Canis lupus familiaris: one gene and its partner. The protein of the gene in region 1 interacts with the protein of each later gene in a pairwise test. Links are inferred from orthologs where the notes say so. Each region holds a gene or a part of one and is shown in the gene's direction. Other genes may lie near its edges.

Region 1 (5,899 bases):
CAGGGCCTTTGCACATAAAGGTGCCACCACTTGCAATTCTCTTCCCTCACACATCTACATGGTTTGCTCCCTCAGCTCCTTCAAGCCTTTTCTCAAGTGTCACCTTCTCAGGCCTGCCCCTACCACCCTATTTCAGATTGCAAAAACCAAACAACTGGTCCTTCCAACTTTTTCTCCCCTGTGCAATTTTTTTTTTTTTTTTGCATACACTTGTCATTCACTCACAGGCTATTTAAACTCATTATGTTTAGTGGTCATTATCTTCTCCCTCACTAGGATGTCCACTCCACGAGGACAGAGACTTAATTGTCTTTTCACTTCTGAAGCCCTAGTGCCTAGAACAGGGCCTGGCACACAGGAAAGAAATGAAATGAATTAAATAAAATTTTATGAAATGAATTACTTAATCACTTGATGATGAAAAACAAGGGAGAAACAGAGACTACCTCTGAGCTGTCTACTCCCCTGTCCCTTCACACTTTGATCCTCCCTCCTCCTGGGACCTTCTCTACGGTAAGGGTCCTTCTATCAGGACATGAAGACAGGCTTCTGAGAAGTGAGAGGAGTACTATGTGTACAAGAAATATGCCAAACATCTGCATCTCTGCCCATGTACTCAGTCTACATTTATGCGCACTTGCTGTGTGCTAAATGCTGTTCCAGGGGCTAGGGGCCCAGCAATGAACAAAAGAAAGAACCTCCCTGGTGGAGCTGACATTCTAGTGAGGAGAGAGGCAATAAGAACATAACGTTGGAAATGACAAGTAATTTGGAAAGAAATATAGATAAGCAGTTAAAATGTGTAGGGCATGCAATTTTACACGAGTGATTAGGGAAAGCCTCTCTGAGTAGGTGATATTTGACCAAGACCTGAATGGAGTTGGAAAATGAGCCACAGGGAAATTTAGGAGCTGAGTGCTCCCAGTAAAGGAATATCGAGTCTAGTGGGGCTGTGTTGGGCATGCTCCCATGTATGTAACTGCACGACTATGTGATACTAGTGTCACTACTGGGTGCTTGTGCATTTGGAGTGTTGCAAGTTGAGGTGAAACATGGGTTGTGCATCTCTTGGTGGGGGGATTGAGGTGGTGTGTTTCACAAGAAATGTAACAGTGTGCTTTGTGTATGTGTGTATCGAAAGAGTTGCAGGCACATTAGCTGAAAGGAAGTGTGTGTGTGTGTGTGTGTGTGTGTAATAGCAATTGTTTGGTTGTATCAGAGTGTGTCCTAATCTGTGTGCAAGGGAAAGGATGTGGGGATGTAAATGTGGGAGGAAGTGGATATGGGATGCTTTGTGTCAAGGTAGGATAGGGCTGTCAGCATGTGGGTGATGGGGGTTCTGAAAGTAGAATATATGCAGAGATGCCATGGTGTGTGTGTGTGTGCGCGCGCGTGCACACAAGCACGCGTGCATGTGTGTAGAGGGCTGTGGAGGTGCCTGGCTGTGTGGGTGGGTGTATTGGGGGATGTTGTAGATCTGTTTTCTGGCCCCAGAGGGAGAGAGAAAGCCCAGGAAATATCAGTTCCGCCGCCCCTGGGTCTCCTGGCAACAGCACCACTTTGAAGTTACCAGGAGACAGAGTTGCCAAAGCAACCGGGCTGAGTGGCAGCTCTAGGGCGAAGTCTGGGTGAGGAGACCTAGCCAGCCATCACTTAACCACTCATCTTGTTCCTCCTCCTTTCCCAGTTTCTCATCAGTCCTACTTCCTTTCTTCATTCATTCGTTTAACAAGCATATATTGAAAATTTACAACGATCTAGTCGCTGTTCTGGGCGATGGAAACACTTAAGTGAACAAGACAAGATCTCTGCCTTGGCTGTCCCTCAATCTCCCACCCTGTGTGACTGTCTACCTGCACTTTCTTTGGTTGATGGTCATGCCCGACCCCCTTGCCCCAGGTAAAACCCAAGCAGCTCCCAGGCCAAAGAGAAAGCCAGCTGAGACTCCTCTTCTCACAGACCCTCAGAGGTGGCTGCTGCTGTTTTGCACGAGGATGTTCCTGAGCCTGCAGCCTCCAACACAAGCTTGTGCCAATACTAAGGTGCAGAAAAGGAAGCACACAAGCTCCTCCATTATTCACCTTCCCAATTGTCATTAGGTGACATCAGCAGAAACACACACAGACCCATTCATCACAATATTCCTCTGAGATGTCAGGAGCTCCATTTCACAGATGAGCAGACTGAGCCTAGGAGACTTTAAGTAATGTGTTACTGATTAGGGCCTGTTTCCTTCAACTCCCAACACTTATATTTGTTTGATTAGCTGACTAGTTCACAATAATGATAGTCGTGCTGCCTCCCTCGGCCGACTTGCGCAAGGGAAGGGTCTTTTCTCCCTCAAATGCCAACATTCCTCCTCCCTCGGACTGTTATTTGCCCCTTCACGAGGGGAGAAGCTAGTCCAGGCCAATCTAACTTTGATGGCAGATCCATGAGCCAATGGAGAAGCTAAGTGCATTGTAACCAATGAGACCCCGGGTTGGGCGGGACTAAGGGCGGGGGCGGGCCGTTGATCGGACAGAGGCACGTTGCGAATGGCGGAGACGCTGAGGCGGGTGCTAAACCAGGGCAGCTCGGCAGAGTCCGGGGAGGAGTACACAGCGGAGGCCGGGCCGCCTTTACTGCTGCTCGGCGGCCCAGGCTCCGGAAAGACCGCGCTGCTATTCGCGGCGGCCCTGGAAGCGGCAGGAGAGGGCCGAGGCCCCGTCCTCTTCCTGACCCGGAGGCCTCTCCAAAGCCTGCCTCGCGGGACCGGAGCGGCGCTCGACCCCCTGCGGCTACAGGTAACCGAGGGGTGGGACCGGAGGCGGCCTAGTTCGCACCTGAGCGGATCAAGGCTTGAGTGACAGTCAGACAGACCAATGGAAGGGACGACGGGAGAGCGAGGCGGGGCGGCCATTGTGGGGCGGAGTCAGGAAGGAGCCGGGACGGGAGGGCGGGGGCGGGACCAGAGCAGGCGTTGTTGAGACTGGGAAACCATCAAAAAAAAAAAAAAAAAAAAAAAAAAATTAAAGCGGGACGCCTGGGTGGCTCAGCCGTTGAGCGTCTGCCTGTGGCTCGGGGGGTGATCCCGGAGTCGCGGGATCGGGTCCCGCATCGGGCTCCCCGCATGGAGCTTGCTTCTCCCTCTGCCTGTGTCTCTGCCTCTCTCGCTCTCTCTCTCATAAATAAATGGATAAAATATTTTTTAGAAAATTAAAAAAGGTCGGGAAAGCGTCCCAAAAAGGGGGACGGGATGAAGGGAAGAGTATTCCACCAATTCTGAGCTGCTTCACTCTGGAACCAGCTACCCGGGTGGGGTGTGAGCGCCGAGCACAGGAAATACAGGGAAGCGGGGCAGCTGGAGCTGGGAGCCTGGCTTCCTGAGCTGAACCTAGTGTTTTCTCTTTTAACTCACTTTAGAAGATACGCTTCCAGTACCCACCCTCAACCCATGAACTCCTTCAGCTTCTGTGCTCTGCCCATGAGGCCCTGGGCCCAGCCCCCTCCCTCCTGCTGCTGGATGGCCTGGAGGAGTACCTAGTGGAAGACTCTCAAGAAGCGGCCTACTTGGCTGCCCTGCTTCTAGACACAGCTGCCCACTTCAGCCACCGGACTGGGCCTGGCCAGGGCTGTGGGCTCATTGTGGCCCTCCAGATCCAGGAAGAGGAAGAGAGTGGGGATGGCCTGCAGCTGTCGCTGCTCCAGCGGTACTTCCCTGCCCAGTGCTGGCTGCAGGTGGATGCACCAGGCCCAGGACAGCGCGGCCTCCGAGCCTGCCTGGATTCAGGTGGGCTGAGCCCTAGAGCAGAGTGGTGGGTGGCTTTCCGACCAGATGGAGAGATGACAATCACCCCATGGCCTACCCAGTCTGGTAACCCCAACTCAGACAAAGGTTCAAGTTCTGGAGGCCAGCCTTGAGCTTTGATGTGTGACACCCTCTTTGTGCCTCAACTGCCCATGGCTGGAATACTTACTTCAGGGACTTGTACAGATTCAAAGACCTAAAGAACAGTGCTTTTTCTCTTGAAACAGAGCATTACCATGTACCTATCATGCCCAATCAACATATTGTTTTGCTGTTTTGAACTTTATAAAATGTTTCGTGATAAATGTAATCTTCTAAGACTTCTTCTCCCACTCAGCATTATTATTACGATTAGTTCAGGGGCACCTGGGTGGTTCAGTGGGTGAAGCATCTGACTTCAGGTCAGGTCATGATCTCTGGGTCCTGGGATCGAGCCCCAGGTCAGGCTTCTCACTTTTTCTTGCACACATGCCCTGGTTCGTGTGTATGAGGGGTTTTAGGGTATACACCTAGAAGTGGAATTGGGAGAGAAGTTCTGCATGTGTTCATCTTTCCTTGGTTATGTCAAACTTTTAAAAAGTGGTTAAACCAGAACTGCCAGTGAAGCCACCTGATGACATTGGTCCCATCAGAGTACTTTCTTAGAACAGGGCCTGATTCAGAATAAAGCCTTACAAATTATTGTTATTCGTAGTGGCAGAGACTAGCTAGAGGCTCATTCAACGACTTTCCTCTCCTGGGCTGTACTGCTAAACTGCATTTTTTCCCCTGCTGTCCATGGTTCTAGCTGGGGTCCTGTGACTATTTCTGGCCAGTGGCATTTGTAAAAAAGAAATAGATACTACTTCTTAGGCTAAGTCCCTAAAATGGCCCACCAAATCTTCTGCGATTTGTTTTGCTTATTGGTTGGCAAGATGCAGAGAATCCATTTAAGGTGGCCCCGGGGGATGGTGAAGTTATAGACCAAGAGAGTCTGGGCTGCTGACTCATCCCAGAGATGGCTGCCCACTTGTTTGCATTGAAATATGAGAGAGAAAGCATTTGATGTGTTAAGCAGTCACATTTAGGAGTTTTTTGTTATGGCACCTAGTATAACATATACTGACTAATTCATTTTATTATGATTGTTATTGAGGTGGTCAGGTCCAGAATTTCAGACTGAGCTTGAGACCTTTTACTGCTGCCCCTATGGCCTGGGTCCAGGGAAGGATGGGGCTTACAGGGTGTTTGTAGAAGTCATGATAGGAACAAAAAATACACACACATACACACACACACACAACTCTATACATTTCAAAATACTGCAAGGATGTACTGAGCAGGATGGGCTGGGCAAAAGCCAGGGTTAGCCATGTCCCTAGTCCTGAGGGAGGCCTCACCAACCCTGCTCCATAAGTCTTAGGCCTGGACTAGTACTTGAGGTCATGCTGAGTCTCCAAGCATCTGAAGACTGGAGTCCTAGGAACAGGCCACGTAGCCGGGGGGTGAAGGCTCAGGGGCTGGGATGAGGTTGTTCTCATAAGGGTTTAAGAAGGGGCTGTTCAGTGAGTCCCCCTGGGCTCCCTGGGAGCCCCCTGAGCTGTAGTCAGTTGAGATGCCAGAGTCAGACACCATGAGGTACAGGTACTTTATGTGGGGTGGGGTGGGGGGCAGCTCAGGGGGCAGTGCCCTTGGGCACAAGAGCTGGGAGCTGGGATCCAGGATGGTATACTCAAAGCTGGCGCCCAAGGCCCCCTCTGGCCCAGGCTTCAGGGACAAACCAGATGAGCAGGAGGATGCTTCTGAGCCTTTATCCATGGCTACTATGTCCAAACTGCCACCAGACTGTGAGACATCCTCACTGGACGGGTTCCGGGGCAGCAACCACTTGTCCAGCACCAGGTACGTGTCCTGGGAATGTTCACTGCCCACTGGCTCCAGCAGGGGCCCCTCATCATCTGCCCCTGGCTCCACTGCTTGTGGTGCCCCCCAGCAGCGTTCAGAGAGGACTTCCAGGGGTGCGGGTGGGTCCTCTGCAAGGGGAGTACAGGGGCTCCACCAAAGACAGCCCTCGTTCTGGTACAGCCACAGCTGGGGAAATAGCACCAGCCTGCTCAGAGACCTGGGGTT
Region 2 (6,031 bases), on another chromosome or scaffold:
GATTTAATAAACCTTAATTATCTAAAAATAGAGTTGGGAAAAAAGCAAGGTAATTCATCTTTACAGTAGAATTCTTTTAACCCTTAAGAGTGAATAAAAAAAAATATTCAGGTGTTCACAATAAGTTATAAAGTTACAAAGGCAGGTTTAAAAATTCTTATTAGATTCATTTTTAAAGTAACCTATGGAAAAAAAAATAAAGTAACCTATGATTAATTTTTTAAAGATTTTATTTATTCATGAGAGACACACAGAGACATAGGCAGAGGGAGAAGCAGGCTCCCTGCGGGGAGCCTGATGCAGGACTTTCTCCCAGGACCCCAGGATCACGCCCTGAGCCAAGGCAGATGCTCAACCACTGAGCAACCCAGGTGCCCAACCTGTGATTAATTGACAAAGTTATGACCAAATTTTATTTTTCTTTGTCCAGAGATAATGTTATATTTGATAAAAAAAAATTTTTGAAACTTCCCATTCTAATAGCTTTTTTTTTTTTTTTAAGATTTATTTATGTATTTATTCATGAGAGACAGAGAGAGAGACAGAGAGAGAGAGGAGCAGGCTCCATGCAGGAAGCCCAATGCAGGACTCGATCCCAGGTCTCCAGGATTAGGCCATGGGCCGAAGGCGGTGCTAAACCGCTAAGCCACCTGGGCTGCCCTCTAATAGGTTTTTGTATCAAGAGACTAGTTTGTTGGAAAATGAAGAAGTTGAACATTTTAATTTTGAAGATAGTAGCTCTGTCTTCATGTTTTATGTCAGATCACATGAGTTCTTTAAAACATTTAACTTTTCTGTTTCAGTTCAACTCACCCATTTTATTCTCCAGTTTATAAAAATGACTCTTCCTTGTTAAAAAAAAAAAAAAAAAGTGTTCTTGAAAAATAAAACATGAAAAGCATCAACAATCATACCACCCAGTGCTAATAACTGAAGAGTTTGGTTTATTGCCTTCTTTTTTAAATTAAATGTTTTATTTTGTGCCCATCCTTTCTCACCTATTGTAAAAATTTTCCCACATACCAGTTTTTTTCTGATCTATCATTTAAAAGTGGGTAGCCTTTATTACTAATACAAAAAGTACAAATTAATACCCATCAGGTGGTCAACATGAGAAACTGATAATATTGGTAGTGGTTAGCATGGGGGGAAAATAGAGCTCCTATACAGTGCTGGTGGGACTGCTGTTTCCACTGTGGAAAGCTATTGGCAACGCCTGTTAAAGTTGAAAAATGTATATATCCTAAGGCTCAGCAATTCTACTTCTATAACCAGGAAGAATTCTCATATGTGTGCATTAAAGGACATGTATGGGGATAATTGAGTATTATTTATAATGTAAAATAGAAACAATCAGAATGCCCAGCAGGGTACTTACAAACATACAGTGGAATGTTATTCAAAAATTAAATTAAGGGATCCCTGGGTGGCGCAGCGGTTTGGCGCCTGCCTTTGGCCCAGGGCGCGATCCCGGAGACCCGGGATCGAATCCCACGTCGGGCTTCCGGTGCATGGAGCCTGCTTCTCCCTCTGCCTGTGTCTCTGCCTCTCTCTCAATCTCTCTGTGACTATCATAAATAAATAAAAATTAAAAAAAAAATTAAATTAAAAAAATATATCAACATGCATCATTTTCAAAAGCACATTGAACAGAAAAAAACCCAAGTTGACAAAAAAGCCTACAATTTATCTTTTATGTTCTAAAACTCATGAAACAGCACCATGCATGTGTATATACACATAGGTGTGTGTATGCATGTGTGCTATGTATATGTATTCAGTATGCTTCATATAATAAAATAAAAAAGCATTAATAGGAAGAAAACCAACAAATGCATATCGTTGCCTTGGGGATGAAAGGAGGTTGGGAAGAACAAGGAGTATTATGAAATGTAAAGATGGCTTTATCTGTAAACATGTTAACATTCTAGGGGATTGATTATGTAGGTTCTTGCTATATTCTTTTTTTTCCAAATTAAAATCAATTTTTAAAAAAATGCCAATGGTGATCCTTTGGGTTAAGTTCCTGAGGTGACCTGAGAGAGTAGATAAGATAGTCTTATCTGAAGCCTTTCTGTTTCCCAGACTGAAGTTCATCTTCGGCCCATCAGCCATCCAGGCCTTGGACCTCGTGGACCGACAGTCCATCACCTTAATCTCATCGCCCAGTGGGAGGCGTGTTTACCAGGTAGAAATCTAGAGGTGGGGATTATCTCAACCAGAAACCCCTTAGCACAAAATGTTTTCATGGATCCCAGTAGTTCCTACTGAAAAGCAATGACCCAACTTAGTAAAATTAGTGTATTAGTAATTAAAATAAGATAAATAAGACTGGGGGCACCTGAATGGCACGGTTGGTTAACTCTTGGTTTTGGGTCAGGTCTTGAGACCTCAGTCTTGAGATCCAGCCCCATGTTACTCTGCACTGAGCACAGAGTCTGCTTGAGATTCTCTATCCCTCTGCCCCGCCCACTGCTTGTATTCTCTCTCTCCCCCCCACTCTTAAATCTTAAAAAAAAAAAAAAAAAAAAAAAGATAAATAAGACCTATTAACCCTACCTAGTAGCAATGTATAGAACCAGCAATGATGTGGAGAGGCTGTTTTCTCAAGTCTCATGGAGACAGTTGACTTTTGCTTCCCTGTGTTTGATAACAGGCATCTTTACCAAAAAAAAAACAAAAAAAAAAAAACAACAACAAAAAAAACTGTATTGACAGTTTTACCTTGTTCATTGTCTTTTGTCTACAAGCAAAAGCCAGAATGCATTTTGAGGTCCTCCTGCATGCTCAGATCATCTATCAGTGATCTTTCTAAACTGTTGTCAGGAAGTATTTATTAAGGGTCAAACTATGCTGAATGCAGATAGTCCACTTGGACCTCAGTTTTGCCCTCTAGAATTTAAGATACATAGATCTGTAAAGTAATAGTCTCTTATCAGACTCTGAAAGATTTCCATGCGTTGTTGCTAATTCCCACAAAAAGCCCAACAAGGTGTTTATCTTGCAGGAAATGGAGATGCAGAAAAGTAAATTAATAGTCATATCTGGCAGCTGGGATTTGTAACTGCCTCCATTTGTATATAAACACTGGGCCATACTCCCATCTCATTCCCATCTCATTCCCACTTGGAAGGAATAAAGAAGCCATCAGCTCTAGTATATAATGTAGGTCTTGCTGAAGATCAGGAAGGGGGAAGCTTTTCAGTGTTTGGATTCTGGTTTATTTATGACGAACTCAGAGCTGAGACCATGTCAAATTTTTTTAAAGATTTTATGTATTTATTAGAGAGTGTGCAAGTGGGGAGGGGCAGAACAAGAAACAATCTGAAGCAGACTGCACTGATGGGGCGCCCAGTGCGGGGCTCAGTCTCAAGACCACAACAAGATCAGGACCTGAGCCAAAACCAAGAATCTGATGCCTAACCCACTGAGCCACTTATGTGCCTCTCAAGTCAATTAATTCTTAGCAAGTGAATGAAGCAGGCAAAGCCAACTTGGGCAAATCGGTCCCTTTGCTTAGTGAATTAACTTGCCATTCCTCAGCGTAGCATGACTTAACCAGTCTGGCAAATCTTCATGCATTTCTTCATTAAAGAAAATGAGGTAATTAATGTTGAGTGCTGGAGTCAAAACCTTTGGATTGTATGTTTACTTAAAAAAAGACTACCTGGGGATCCCTGGGTGGCTCGGCGGTTTAGTGCCTGCCTTTGGCCCAGGGCCTGATCCTGGAGTCCCGGGATCGAGTCCCACGTCGGGCTCCCTGCATGGAGCCTGCTTCTCCCTCCTCCTGTGTCTCTGCCTCTCTCTCTCTCTCTCTGTCTATCATGAATAAATAAATAAATCTTTAAAAAAAAAAAAAAGACTACCTATTAGAATTTTGTCAGGATGAATTTAGAGATTAGTAATCAGAGCTATTGGGGTGCCTGGGTGGCTCAGTCAGTTAAGTTGCTGCCATCGGCTCAGGTCGTGATATTGGGAGTCCTTAGATCGAGCCCATTGGGCTCCCTGTTGGGCGTGGATCCTGCTTCTCCCTTCCTGCTTCTCCCTCTCACTCTCCCCCTGCTTGTGCAAGCGTGCACACGCACATTCTCTCTCTCATGAATATTTTTTTTAAATGTAATAATCAGCTATTAAGTGATACTACACCTGATGAGGTGTTTCCATTTTACTTCTCATAGTTTTTATCTTGGTTTTTTTATGTAGTTAAAATACCCAGAACAAGAAGGGCCTTGAGTTTTTCCCACATCTCTTGGTTTCTGATTTGTCTCCATTCCACTATTAGCATAACACTTGACCTGCACAGACTTCTAACTGCTCTCTAGTTCTAAGATCTAGTCATTAGTTAAAATCTTAAAGATTTTGTTTGACATATTTTAATTGTTGACTTTTTATTTCTCCCAAGATTGCCATGATTTGTTTAACTTTCATCATTCCCATCCTGTATTATATTACATTGCTTTATTTGTCATAAAAGTGCAAACTTCCTAGTACTGTAGCTTTCAGTTTGGACTTTGAATTAAATGAGGCTATAGAAATCTTATATACGCCCTAATGGTCTCATTGTATACTAATATAGTCTGAATCTGGCTTAAGTCACAGGTTCTCTGAGATGATAAAAGTTGAGTCAGACACTGTTTTGTTTTTTTTTTAAGTTGTAATAGTCTAACAACTTTATTTTTTTTTTATTTGTATTTATTTATGATAGGCACACAGTGAGAGAGAGGCAGAGACATAGGCAGAGGGAGAAGCAGGCTCCATGCACCGGGAGCCCGACGTGGGATTCAATCCCGGGTCTCCAGGATCCCGCCCTGGGCCAAAGGCAGGCGCTAAACCGCTGCGCCACCCAAGGATCCCTCAGACACTGTTTTGATACTCCATTAGTCATCTTTCCACAGGTCAGCCTTCTAATCTTACTGCCTTCCAGGCACAATGGTAATTATTCCAAAGTCACCACTGTGTTGTTGTCACCTGAGTTGCTTTTCTGTAAACTTTTTTGGTTTACCTAGGAAGAGGGATGCATCAGTCAGGAGGAGGCTACGTTAGGCTGTGGCAACAATGACCCCCAAATGCCAAAGGCTTACAGAAACAAAGTTGTATGTCTCATTCATGCTTCATTCATACCCATTCAGAGTGGACTGCTGCTCTACTCCAAAACATCTCCACTTAGGGATCCCAGTTGGTGTAGCAGCCCTTCTCCAGAATATCGTGGATCTCATAGCAGAGAGAAAAGAGGATGTGGTCTGTGCCAATTTGTAATGTTTCTGCTTGGCTACTCACATTTTCCTGGCTAAAGCAGGTCACATAGCCAGCCGGTATTTAATAGAGCAGGAATCTATAATCTTCTTTCAGAGAGAGGCACCAAACACAGGGAACAATAAATAATACAGTTGAGCATTCTAATGGCTCCTAAGAGGCTGGCAGCAGCCATAAAATAAAACTGTAGTTGAGAGTGGATGACCATCTAGGTGGGTCATGCTCCTTAAAACCCAACCAGAACTACAGCAGACTTCCTCCAAGTGAGGCTCATGCAAGTCTATATGGGTCTCCATTTCCTATTTCCCAGATTTTTCTGTTTAAAAAGTTCTCTCCTTGGGGTGCCTGGGAGGCTCAGTTGGCTAACTGTCTGCCTTCAGCTCAGGTCATCATCCCAGGGTCCTGAGATTGAGCCCTGTATCAGACTCCCTGCTCAGCAGGGAGCCTGCTTCTCCCTTTCCTTCTGCGCCCTCCCTCCCCACTCATGCTTGCGCGCTCTCTCGCAAATAAAATCTTTTTTTAAAAAAGTTGTCTCCTTCTGAGGATAAACATTGCAGACTGTGAGTGGGCAGAGTGGGGGCAGTTCCTGTAAGAGGAGGTCATTTTTTCCATTGAAGGCTGAAGCCACTGAATTAGATGATCCCTGCAGTCAATTTCCAATTCTAATCTTTTCTAACTCAGATTTTTGCCTGATTACTCGGTTCATTACTCATCTGATGCTAGATAAGGAAGAAACAAATCCAAAATTTACTATCTCCTGACAGTATTTTACTGCTTC

What was found. The genes of interacting proteins can lie anywhere in the genome.
Region 2: the proteins of SWSAP1 (region 1) and ZSWIM7 interact in binary tests that used the Homo sapiens proteins (3 or more experiments, as listed by UniProt). The link is inferred for Canis lupus familiaris from reciprocal best matches to the Homo sapiens genes SWSAP1 and ZSWIM7.

The regions. Positions count from the first base shown.
Region 1 is NC_049241.1:50,347,768-50,353,666, reverse strand, and holds SWSAP1 (ATPase SWSAP1), read left to right. Parts: upstream 1-2,491; 5' UTR 2,492-2,537; coding exon 2,538-2,786; intron 2,787-3,405; coding exon 3,406-3,903; 3' UTR 3,904-4,110; downstream 4,111-5,899. UniProt on the Homo sapiens protein: ATPase which is preferentially stimulated by single-stranded DNA and is involved in homologous recombination repair (HRR). Has a DNA-binding activity which is independent of its ATPase activity.
Region 2 is NC_049226.1:40,091,728-40,097,758, forward strand, and holds part of ZSWIM7 (zinc finger SWIM domain-containing protein 7), read left to right. Parts: intron 1-2,085; coding exon 2,086-2,188; intron 2,189-6,031. UniProt on the Homo sapiens protein: Involved in early stages of the homologous recombination repair (HRR) pathway of double-stranded DNA breaks arising during DNA replication or induced by DNA-damaging agents. Required for meiotic progression, hence for fertility.